Linked DNA regions of Oryctolagus cuniculus. The protein of the gene in region 3 purifies or fractionates together with the protein of the main gene of each other region. This does not show direct contact. Links are inferred from orthologs where the notes say so. Each region holds a gene or a part of one and is shown on either strand. Other genes may lie near its edges. The genes, in order: MYO1C, SMARCA4 and BAZ1B.

Evidence for each region.
Region 1: the proteins of BAZ1B (region 3) and MYO1C purify together in Homo sapiens (affinity purification with western blotting; 3 studies listed by BioGRID, with this or other methods). This does not show direct contact. The link is inferred for Oryctolagus cuniculus from reciprocal best matches to the Homo sapiens genes BAZ1B and MYO1C.
Region 2: the proteins of BAZ1B (region 3) and SMARCA4 fractionate together in Homo sapiens (co-fractionation; 3 studies listed by BioGRID, with this or other methods). This does not show direct contact. The link is inferred for Oryctolagus cuniculus from reciprocal best matches to the Homo sapiens genes BAZ1B and SMARCA4.

What each region holds. Positions count from the first base shown.
Region 1 is NC_091448.1:47,028,771-47,032,413, forward strand, and holds part of MYO1C (unconventional myosin-Ic), read right to left. Parts: coding exon 3,504-3,643; intron 3,423-3,503; coding exon 3,307-3,422; intron 3,053-3,306; coding exon 2,854-3,052; intron 2,771-2,853; coding exon 2,690-2,770; intron 1,670-2,689; coding exon 1,490-1,669; intron 1,405-1,489; coding exon 1,306-1,404; intron 991-1,305; coding exon 877-990; intron 784-876; coding exon 712-783; intron 282-711; coding exon 162-281; intron 52-161; coding exon 1-51.
Region 2 is NC_091447.1:66,652,694-66,656,336, reverse strand, and holds part of SMARCA4 (transcription activator BRG1), read left to right. Parts: intron 1-203; coding exon 204-330; intron 331-2,030; coding exon 2,031-2,204; intron 2,205-2,664; coding exon 2,665-2,838; intron 2,839-3,643. UniProt on the Homo sapiens protein: ATPase involved in transcriptional activation and repression of select genes by chromatin remodeling (alteration of DNA-nucleosome topology).
Region 3 is NC_091450.1:50,544,482-50,548,124, forward strand, and holds part of BAZ1B (tyrosine-protein kinase BAZ1B), read left to right. Parts: coding exon 1-793; intron 794-3,643. UniProt on the Homo sapiens protein: Atypical tyrosine-protein kinase that plays a central role in chromatin remodeling and acts as a transcription regulator. Involved in DNA damage response by phosphorylating 'Tyr-142' of histone H2AX (H2AXY142ph).

The DNA.
Region 1 (3,643 bases), on a different chromosome or scaffold from region 3:
GTCCAGGAGCCCAAGAACCGTGGTGCTCCGCCAGCTGGGGCTCTCGGCGTCCTAGGGCCCATCAGTCAACCAGGGCGTGGGTCCCAATGTGCGGGGCTGACCCTATTCCCAGCTCCCCCCCCCCCCAACCTGCCCTGGGCCAGCGTGCATGCAGCCCTCACCTTGGAGGCCAGGGACCTGTTGATCTTCCCAACCAGCCAGGTAAAAGTGCGGCTGTACACAGCCTTGGCCAGAGCGTCCCGTGCATACGCGGCCTGCTCCAGGTTCAGCGGACTCAGGAGCTGTCGGCGTGGGGACAGGCAAGGAGACCAATGCCACACACACCTCTTCCATGCCCCCTCCCTTCGGGCTCAGGTAGAAGACCAGCAAACCCCAAGCACCCCACCCTCCCTCTCAGCGCCGGAGAGCCTGGGGCTGGGGAGGGAAAGCAGCAGCAGGACACGGGGTGGGGGTGGCCACACCACGGGGCAGCTGGTGGGGGCACAAGAGGCCTCATTCCTGGAGGTGGGAGTCTGGGTCTCAGCCTGACTCTGTCTCTTCCTGTGTGACCTGGGCCAGCTCACAGTGTCTCTCTGAGCTACCTGCCCTAAGTCCCTTGAGCACTGGGCAGAAGACCACCAGGGCAGAGCAGAGCACCGGGCAGAAGACCACCAGGGCCAGAGCAGGGCTGAGCTGCACTGACCCTACACTCGGGCAAAGGCTCCGCCTCACCTCTTCCCCCTTGGCGATGATCTTCCTGTGTGTCAGGGCTTCCCGCAGCGTCGCGCCTTCCACACCGAGGAGCTGCGGGGGGTGTGTGAGGGGGGTGCGTGTGGCTGGGAACACACGCCCCCTCCCCCATCGGCCCCTCCCCTCGCCCTCTGCACACCCGCTCACCCTGCTAAGATACTTGATCTGGTTCTCGGTGGTGACCTGGGCATTGCTCTCCTCGTCGGCAGCGAAGTGGATGTTGCCCAAGTGCAGGACGCTGGCCACGATGCTCAGCAGCTCCTAGGGGAGCAGGGAGGGCACGTGAGGCTTGGGGAGGGAGAGAGCCTGCGGGCAACTGGATGGCCGGCCGGAGGCGGGCAGGGGTGCAAAGTGTTGGAGAGCAAAAGGGGAAATGGTTTTTGAGAGTAGAAGGGGAAGAATAAAAGACACAGAGATAATAAAGACGACACAACTCACGCACACACACATGCACTCGCACACATACACACACATGCGCACATGCACACACGCACACATACACACATGCACACATGCGTGCACACATAAGCACACACACAAAGAGCAGAAGGAGCGCAGTCCCCCAGGCGGCCTCACCTCCACCTCCTCCTCGGTGAAGTCGATGACTGTCAGTGCCTTCCTGACCACCTTCCAGTCGCTCTTGTCATTGATGGAGGACACCTTGGCACACTGGCCCTAGAGGAAGGGCACAGTTGGGTTGCCAGCCCTGGCACCATGGCCCCCTCCCGGGGCGGCCCCGCCCCCTGGGCCAGCCACGCACCTTCACCAGGTACAGGTAGCTCTGGGGGTTGCGCTCCAGGCCCAGCCTCCTCAGCGTCTCCTCCTCGCCCCCCTCCAGCAGCTGGTAGAAGATGTGGAAGTTGCGCTCGCCGTGATTCTGGTGAACCACACGGGACTTCTCCAGGAGGTAGCTGAGGATGTGGCCACCCACAGGGGCCCCCTGCGGGGATGGCAGGCACAGGGGACGGGTCACAGGGGCTGGGGAATACACCCGTCTTCCCTCCCCTCCCCTGCACAGAGGCTTGAATTTCAGCTCCGCCACTTGCTGTGTGGGCTCATACCCATCACCCCCTCTGGCCTCACCAACTTCACCTGCGAAATGGGGAGATTCAACCCCATCCGCTTGGCAGCTCCGCTTGGATGCCTGCCACGCCTGAACCCGAACTCCCGATCTCCCCCTCTTCACACCAGCTCCTGTTCTCGTTTTCCTGTCTTGGTTGAGGGCAGTGCTACCCATCTAGCAGGTGTTCAGCCAAGAAGTCTAGCCTATTTCTTCCAGAGCCTACATCTGATCAGACGGCCAACCGTGCCGCCTTCACCTCCAACACATCCGGAGTCCAACCACACGCAGCACCTCCACTGCCAGCACACTGCTCTGAGCCCTGTCAGCTGTCACCTGCATTATTACATCAGCCTCCCAACCGGTTCCTCGCCTGGCCTGGTTCCCCCGCCATCTACTCCCAACAGAAGAGCGATCTTTCTGAGAGGAAAGGTGAGCAAGACGCTTCTGCCCAGAATCCTCCGCCAAGCCCCCTTCCCCTTGGAAAGACCCCGCAGGCCCGCCCCGCCGTCTGCTCTCCTGTCGCTGGGCCTTGGAACCTGCCAAGTCCCCTCCTGCCCAGGGCCTTGTCACCAGCTGTTCCAATGCCTGGATTCTCCTCCAGGTCTCCACACAGCTGGCTGCCAGTCTCCATCAACCCTCATTAAAATGCTACCTTCCGGGCAAGGCCTACACAAGCTGCCTTATTAAAAATTCCAACTGCCCCCCCCATCCCTCCTGTTATTTTCTGGCACCATCTAAGTTGTAACTGTTTCTGCTCTCAGTCTAGCACCCCAGAGGCAGGATTTTTGTCTGCTGGGTTCCACTGCAGCATGTCCGGTACACAGTAGTTGCTCAAGAAATACCACGTCTCCTGCATGCGGCAGTCCCCCCCATCGGCCCTGGCATGCCCATAGGTACCTTGAAGTCGAATTGCACATCCATGTACTTCCCAAACCTGCTGGAGTTATCGTTCCGGAGGGTCTTGGCATTCCCGAAGGCCTAGGTGTGGACACGGGTGTGAGGGAGGCCTGGCGCCCTCTCGGCTCGGCTCTCCCCCTCCCCGTGCCACAGCCACACCCCACCTCCAGCACAGGGTTACTCTGCAGCAGCCGGTCCCGCACGGCGCCCCCTCGCTCGGGGGCGGGGCATGTCTCCGCGTAGAACTGCAGCAGTCGCTTGGTGGCCTCGGTCTTGCCAGCCCCGCTCTCCCCAGAGATCATCACTGCCTGGTCCCTGCGCTCCGTGCGCAGCGCCCGGTACACAGTGTCGGCCACGGCGAACCTGCGACAGGGGCTTGTCAGGGAGTTCAGGGAGACGGGGTAGCCCCACAGGTAGGACTGGGGGGCCACTCCCATAACAGCTGGAGTGCCCGTGGGGGTGGGAGTCAGGTGTAACCCCTGAAGATGCAGGTCACTTCTAGGGGCTAGCCCCTCTCAGCTGGGGGTCACTAAGGCTGGAGGCCACGCCCAGGTCGAGCTGGGTGGGCCTGGAGACCCTCACAGGTGTGCACAGTGGGGGCGGGTGGGGTCACTCACAGGTGGGGCGGCACCTCGTAGAAGCTGACACCCCGGTACCGCTCCATGTGCTGCCGGCTGTAAATCTGCAGGTCCCGGTAGGGGTTGACAGAGACCAGGACGGGGCCGATGTAGGTCTGGGGGTTGGGAGAGCAAGGTCAGAGGTTTGCCCCGGGGGGGGGGGCCAGCACCCACCCCACGCCCCGCTCGAGCCTCACGTAAATGAGGTTCTCCCGGAAGCGCCGCCGCAGGTTCTCCATAAAAGCCGCCTCGCTGGTGAAGTTCTCCAGGAGCACGAAGTCCTGCACCCCCACCCGGTCCCGGGCGGTCAGTGCACTCTCCATGGTCACCCGCACCC
Region 2 (3,643 bases), on a different chromosome or scaffold from region 3:
AGATGGGGCCCCTGAGGCCCACGGCCACTCCTCCCGGCCTGCGGGGGCGGGGCCTCGGGCCTCCTGACCGGAGGTTGGCTCCCACTGCTGAGACTCCAGGGCTCAGGGCTGCGGCCTAGGATGCGTCCTTGGGAGGCTGCCCAGGGCTTCCTAGGCAGGGCCCTGCAGAGGGGCCGCCTTCTCACTGCCTCTCCCCGCCCCAGGCTGCAGGCTCGCATCGCACACCGAATCCAGGAACTTGAAAACCTCCCCGGGTCCTTGGCCGGGGATCTGCGAACCAAAGCGACCATTGAGCTCAAGGCCCTCAGGCTGCTGAACTTCCAGAGACAGGTGGGCTGAGTGCTGGGGCTGCTCCCTGGGGGCTGGGGCTGCTCCCTGAGTGCTGGGGCTGCTCCCTGGGGGCTGGGGCTGCTCCCTGAGTGCTGGGGCTGCTCCCTGAGTGCTGGGGGCTGCTCCCTGGGGGCTGGGGCTGCTCCCTGAGCACTGGGGCTGCTCCCTGGGGGCTGGGGCTGCTCCCTGGGGGCTGGGGCTGCTCCCTGAGGGCTGGGGTGCTGCTCCCTGGGGGCTGGGGCTGCTCCCTGGGGGCTGGGGCTGCTCCCTGAGCACTGGGGCTGCTCCCTGGGGGCTGGGGCTGCTCCCTGGGGGCTGGGGGCTGCTCCCTGAGGGCTGGGGTGCTGCTCCCTGAGCGCTGGGGCTGCTCCCTGGGGGCTGGGGCTGCTCCCTGGGGGCTGGGGCTGCTCCCTGAGCGCTGGGGCTGCTCCCTGGGGGCTGGGGCTGCTCCCTGGGGGCTGGGGGCTGCTCCCTGAGGGCTGGGGTGCTGCTCCCTGAGCGCTGGGGCTGCTCCCTGAGTGCTGGGGCTGCTCCCTGGGGGCCGGGGCTGCTCCCTGAGTGCTGGGGGGCTGCTCCCTGAGTGCTGGGGCTGCTCCCTGGGGGCTGGGGCTGCTCCCTGGGGGCTGGGGCTGCTCCCTGGGCGCTGGGGTGCTGCTCCCTGAGCGCTGGGGCTGCTCCCTGAGTGCTGGGGCTGCTCCCTGGGGGCTGGGGCTGCTCCCTGAGGGCTGGGGTGCTGCTCCCTGAGTGCTGGGTGCTGCTCCCTGGGTGCTGGGTGCTGCTCCCTGGGGGCTGGGGGCTGCTCCCTGAGTGCTGGGTGCTGCTCCCTGAGTGCTGGGGCTGCTCCCTGAGTGCTGGGGTGCTGCTCCCTGAGTGCTGGGTGCTGCTCCCTGGGGGCCGGGGCTGCTCCCTGGGGGCCGGGGCTGCTCCCTGGGGGCTGGGGGCTGCTCCCTGGGGGCTGGGGCTGCTCCCTGGGGGCTGGGGCTGCTCCCTGAGTGCTGGGGCTGCTCCCTGAGTGCTGGGGGCTGCTCCCTGAGTGCTGGGCCGCTGCTCCCTGGGCGCTGGGGCGCTGCTCCCTGGGCGCTGGGGCGCTGCTCCCTGGCCATTCGCACGTGTGCGCACACTCACACTCACGCAAGGGCGCTGTTGGTCCCCTGTGCCTGCCCTGCGGCCCAGTGGGTGGTGGGAGGGGTTGCCCTTGAGGCTTTCCCTAAGCGGGGGCTTCCCTCTGGCACGGTTGCCCGGTGGGGGATGAGACTCGAGCGGCCCCTCTCCAAGGGGTGCTGTCTTCTGGGGGTCCGTAAGGACCTCTGTGTGTTGTGGGAGGCCCACTGCAGGCTTGAGGCACGCCAGGGCCCTCTGCTGGGCTCCAGATGGTCATTGCTCCGTGCCGCCTGCCGGTGGCTCCTGCCATCCGCTCTCTGCATACAGATCGGTGCCTGAGCATCTTTTTAGAGATGACCCGGAATGGGCGTTGAGCCCAGCACCTCCCACGTCGGGTGCTGGGGTTCCTTCTCCCACGTCCTGCTGATGCGGGCCCCGAGGGGCATCAGTGACGGACTCACAGTCCGGTCTCAGGTGCCGTCGTTCTGGGAGTGAGCCGGCGGGGTGGGGCTGTTGGTCTCGGAGGCGGCAGCACCGGCGTGGCGTGGCGTGGCGTGGTGTGGCGTGCACGGTGCCAGCGTCTCCTGTTCCTCCCGAAGCTGCGCCAGGAGGTGGTGGTGTGCATGCGGAGGGACACAGCGCTGGAGACGGCGCTGAACGCCAAGGCCTACAAGCGCAGCAAGCGCCAGTCCCTGCGCGAGGCGCGCATCACCGAGAAGCTGGAGAAGCAGCAGAAGATCGAGCAGGAGCGCAAGCGGCGCCAGAAGCACCAGGTGCGTCCCGGCCGGCGCCCCCGCGCCGCGCGCGGCCTCGTCTCGGCTGTGACGGTCGCCCCTGTCTGCCGAGTTAGCTTTGTGTTGGTAAAAATTACCGCACGTTGGTGTGTGTTTAGGTACTGCTGAAACACGGCAGATGTCAACCTTGTATTCCATCTCAGCCTGTCCCCCGTTCCCCTGTTTGGGCACACATAGCATATTTTACAGCTCTCAGAATTTAAAAAAAAAAATCCCGCTAGAACAGGCGTTCTTGGCCCTCCAGGTTTTCTGGACTGATCTTGGACATATTCTTACAATATGCACTGGGTTTTGTCAGGACACGGGGCCGGGCCTCCTAGCAGGCAGCGGCACAGTCTCGCTGCGCTTACGTCTCGATGAGCGCGTGGTCCTCCTCGGGGGAGCGCCCTTGCCAGTGGCGTCCCCCGAGCGGTCAGCGCCCCCTTGGCGTCACCCACAGGAGTACCTCAACAGCATCCTGCAGCACGCCAAGGACTTCAAGGAGTACCACAGATCCGTCACGGGCAAGATCCAGAAGCTCACCAAGGCGGTGGCCACGTACCACGCCAACACGGAGCGGGAGCAGAAGAAGGAGAACGAGCGGATCGAGAAGGAGCGCATGCGCAGGCTCATGGTGCGTCCCGGCCCCAGCCCGGCCCGCTCAGCTGGCTCGCGCCCGGTCCAGTAGGGGCTGGGTGAGAGGTGGGCAAAGGGGAAAACAGGCGTGGGTTGGGGGCAGAGACCCCTGCCTCAGACCTGACCACGAAGGGGCCACGGGACCCAGGCCCGTCGGCTGCCCTGCACATTGGGTCAGGGGGCACAGGGGGAGCAGTGGAGACCCCCCAGTAGTCTGTTGGGCCGTGGGGGAAGAGGGCGCTGCAGGAGACGGAACTCGGCCCCTGCCCTCCTGGGCTTCAGATAGCCCGGGTGAAACACAGGAGGGGGTTTTATGTGAAGATGAGTGCAGGGAAGGGCAGGACTCAGGCAAGGGCGTGGGGTGGACAGGAGGCCTCACCACCAGAGGCCTGCAGGGCAGGCGTGACCCAGGGTGCACGGTCTGGGGACAGGAGGGTGGCAGCATGCTGCATGTGGCGTCCAGCAAGTGCCTCGGGTCCCAGGCCCCCGAGATGGGAGGTCCGAGCACCTCGTGTGGGGCAGGTGGATCCCCACGGCCTGCCAGGAGGGCTCTGGGCCCGAGGGCGCCCCTGCCGAGGTGTGGCAGTGCTGTCGTGTGGACCAGCTGGAGGAAGGGCTGGATTTGGGGGTGTGTCTCATGGACGGAGAAGGCGGGACTTGGGGCCTTTGCGGTGGCTCCTTGCAGGGCCCTCAGGTGCTGGCATTGAGGTGATCGTGAGGCGAGTCTAGCGGTGCACCCGGCCCAGCCCTGGCTCGGGACAGCCCGGGAGGGGCTCTGGCTCTGGGTGTGCCTGCCGGGGTGG
Region 3 (3,643 bases):
GGACTGCCCAACACACTCTTTGGGGACGTGGCCCTGGTGGTGGAGTTCCTGAGTTGTTACTCTGGGCTGCTCTTACCTGATGCTCAGTACCCCATTACTGCCGTGTCCCTTATGGAAGCCTTGAGTGCGGACAAGGGTGGCTTTCTGTACCTGAACAGAGTGTTGGTCATCCTCCTGCAGACCTTGTTACAGGATGAGATCGCGGAGGACTATGGCGAATTGGGAATGAAGCTGTCCGAGATCCCTCTGACCCTGCATTCCGTTTCAGAGCTGGTACGGCTCTGCTTGCGCAGATCTGACGTTCAGGAGGAAAGCGAGGGCTCCGACGCAGATGACAACAAAGACTCCGCGCAGTTTGAGGACAATGAAGTGCAGGATGAGTTCCTGGAGAAGCTGGAGACGTCCGAGTTCTTTGAGCTAACGTCAGAAGAGAAGCTGCAGATCCTGACAGCGCTGTGCCACCGGATCCTCATGACGTACTCGGTGCAAGACCACATGGAGACCAGGCAGCAGATGTCGGCGGAGCTGTGGAAGGAGCGGCTTGCTGTGCTGAAGGAGGAGAATGACAAGAAGAGAGCAGAGAAGCAGAAGCGGAAAGAAATGGAAGCCAGAAATAAAGAAAATGGAAAGGAGGAGAACGGGTTAGGCAAAACTGACAGGAAGAAAGAGGTTGTGAAGTTAGAGCCCCCAGTAGATACGGAAGCTGAAGACATGATTAGTGCTGTGAAGAGCAGAAGGCTGCTTGCCATGCAAGCTAAGAAGGAACGGGAAATCCAGGAAAGAGAGATGAAAGGTAAATTGTCGTGTGGGGGCCGGGCAGGCGTTGTAAACGGAGGGACTGACCAAGGTGTGGCAGGGTCTGTGTGTGTCACAACTGTCCACTTCCGGGTGGTAACCCAGCACCAGCAGATGTGTCTCTTAGTGGGAGTGTTCAGCCCGGCACTCTGCAGCTAATGATGCGTTCCTGTGATGGTGGCATCCTTCTGGGTTCAGGGGAGGACCAAGTCCACAGGTGGGCATAGTGGAAGCAACACCGTGACCTGCTGGGCCTTGGCTGTAGGCCTTGGCAAGCTACTTACCCACGCCTCACTTGGTGCTTGGTAACAGTTGTGGCACCTGAATGACAAGTTATTTGAAGCCCCAAGCATAGTCACCACTTCAGATAGTCCCCTCCCTTAATAATGTTTAAGAGACGTAGAAATTTTGAGCTTTCATGACCACATCAAATCCAAACATTTATAAAAACAGCATTATTAAGAAATAATTTGCATACCATAACATTCATTCATCTATTGTGTATAATTAATTCACTGTTTCTTAATAAATTCACAGATATGTATAACCATTACTGTAGTAATTTTATGTCTATTTTTTTTTTTAACCTAAAAAGAACAACCCGTGTCCTTGGGTGTCACCATCCACCCATCCTCCCCAAGCCAGAAGCCACCACCCGTCTGCTTTCTGTCTCTGTGGATTGCCTGTTCTAGACTTCTCCTATGCAAGACTCATATAATAAATGTTGTTTTTTTGTGACTGGCTTCTTTCACATAGCCGGTTTCCAAGGTTTGTTCACGTTGTAGCACGTAAAACATGTCACATTAAGGAAGCCAGTTTAGAAAGACCATCTCTGCCTAGTTCTCAAACATTCTCATCACCCCAGAAGCCCCCAGCTCCTGTCAGCCGCCCGGTCTGCTCTCTGTTTCTGTGGACTTACATGTTCTGGCTGTCTCTTTGAGTGGAACCACAGAATACATGGCTTGTGTGTCTGTCGTCTTTGACCTTGTCATGCTATGGCCTGCGTCACTACTTTGACCTCATCATGCTACGGGCTGCGTCAGTACTCCTTTCTGGGGCTGAGTGGTAGCCCATTGTTGGGCTGCATGGTATCTTATTTATTCATCCGATGAAGAACGTTTAGGTTATTTCCCACCTTTTGGCTTTTACGGATAATGCTGCTATGGACATTCACGTACAAGTTTGTTTTGGGGGTATATATTTTCGTTTCTCTTGGGTGAATACCTAGGAATGGAATTGGTCATGTGGTCATTTCAGGAGCTGACAGGCTAGGCTGTTCGCAAGAGGGGTTGTGTAGTCGTATATCCCTACCAGCAGTGCAGAAATGTTCTGATTCCTCCATCCTTACCAGCACTTGACACTATCTGACTTTCGAGTTCTTACCATCCTAGTGGGTGTGAATTAATATCTCATGTGCTTTTGATTTGTGGTTACTTGGTGACTACTAAGCATTGTTTCATGTGCTAGTGGCCATTTATTTGGAGAAATGTTAATTCAGATCTTTTGCCTGTTATTTGTTTATATATTTTTTTATTTATTTATTTTTTTGACAGGCAGAGCGGACAGTGAGAGAGAGAGACAGAGAGAAAGGTCTTCCTTTGCCGTTGGTTCACCCTCCAATGGCCGCCACAGCCGGCGCACCGCGCTGATCCGATGGCAGGAGCCAGGAGCCAGGTGCTTTTCCTGGTCTCCCATGGGGTGCAGGGCCCAAGCACCTGGGCCATCCTCCACTGCACTCCCTGGCCACAGCAGAGAGCTGGCCTGGAAGAGGAGCAACCGGGACAGAATCCGGCGCCCCAACCGGGACTGGAACCTGGTGTGCCGGCGCCGCTAGGCGGAGGATTAGCCTAGTGAGCCGCGGCGCCGGCCTATTTGTTTATATTTTTAGTTTTTATTTTATTTATTTGAAAGGTGAAGAAGCTTCCTGTCCACTTTTTTTCCTTTAAAAGATTTATTTATTTATTTGAATGGCAGATTTACAGATAGAGGAAGGGAGAGATAGAACTTTCATCTACTGGTTTACTCCCCAAATGGCCACAATGGCTGGGTCTGGGCCAGGCCAAAGCCAGGAGCCAGGAGCTCCATCCAGGTATCCCTCAGGGGTGCAGGGGCCCAAGCACTGGGGCCATCTTCTGCTGCTTTCCTAGGCATGTTAGCCTAGGAGCAGCCAGGACTGGAACTGGCACCCATGTAGAATGCCAGCACTGCCAGAGGAGGCTTAACCTTATACGCCATGTGCCAGTCCTGATGCTGTCCTTTTGTCCCAGCATCATCTGTTAAAAACTCTATCCTGGCCGGCGCTGTGGCTCACTAGGCTAATCCTCCAACTGCAGCGCCAGTACCCCGGGTTCTAGTCCTGGTTAGGGCGCCGGTTCTGTCCCGGTTGCTCCTCTTCCAGTCCAGCTCTCTCCTGTGGCCCAGGAGGGCAGTGGAGGATGGCCCAAGTACTTGGGCCCTGCACCCGTGTGGGAGACCAGGATAAGTACCTGGCTCCTGGCTTTGGATTGGTGCAGCTCTGGCCGTAGTGGCCATTTGGGGGGTGAACCAACGGAAGGAAGACCTTTGTCTCTGTCTCTCTCTCACTGTCTAACTCTGCCTGTCCAAAAAAAAAAAACACACACACACACACACAATCTTTTCCTTCGTGGAATGATTTTGGTGCCTGAGTCAAAAATTACTTAACTATTAGGCACTTCAGTTTATTTGTGGACTATGAATTTTAGTGTGTTCTCTATGACTATATGCTCTAGTAACTTTAGAAATAGAGAAGAGTTCCTTTCTCAACTTTCCCTTTGTCAAGATTATTTTGGTTATTCTGGGTCTCCTTCAGTTCTGTGAGTTTCTTTTC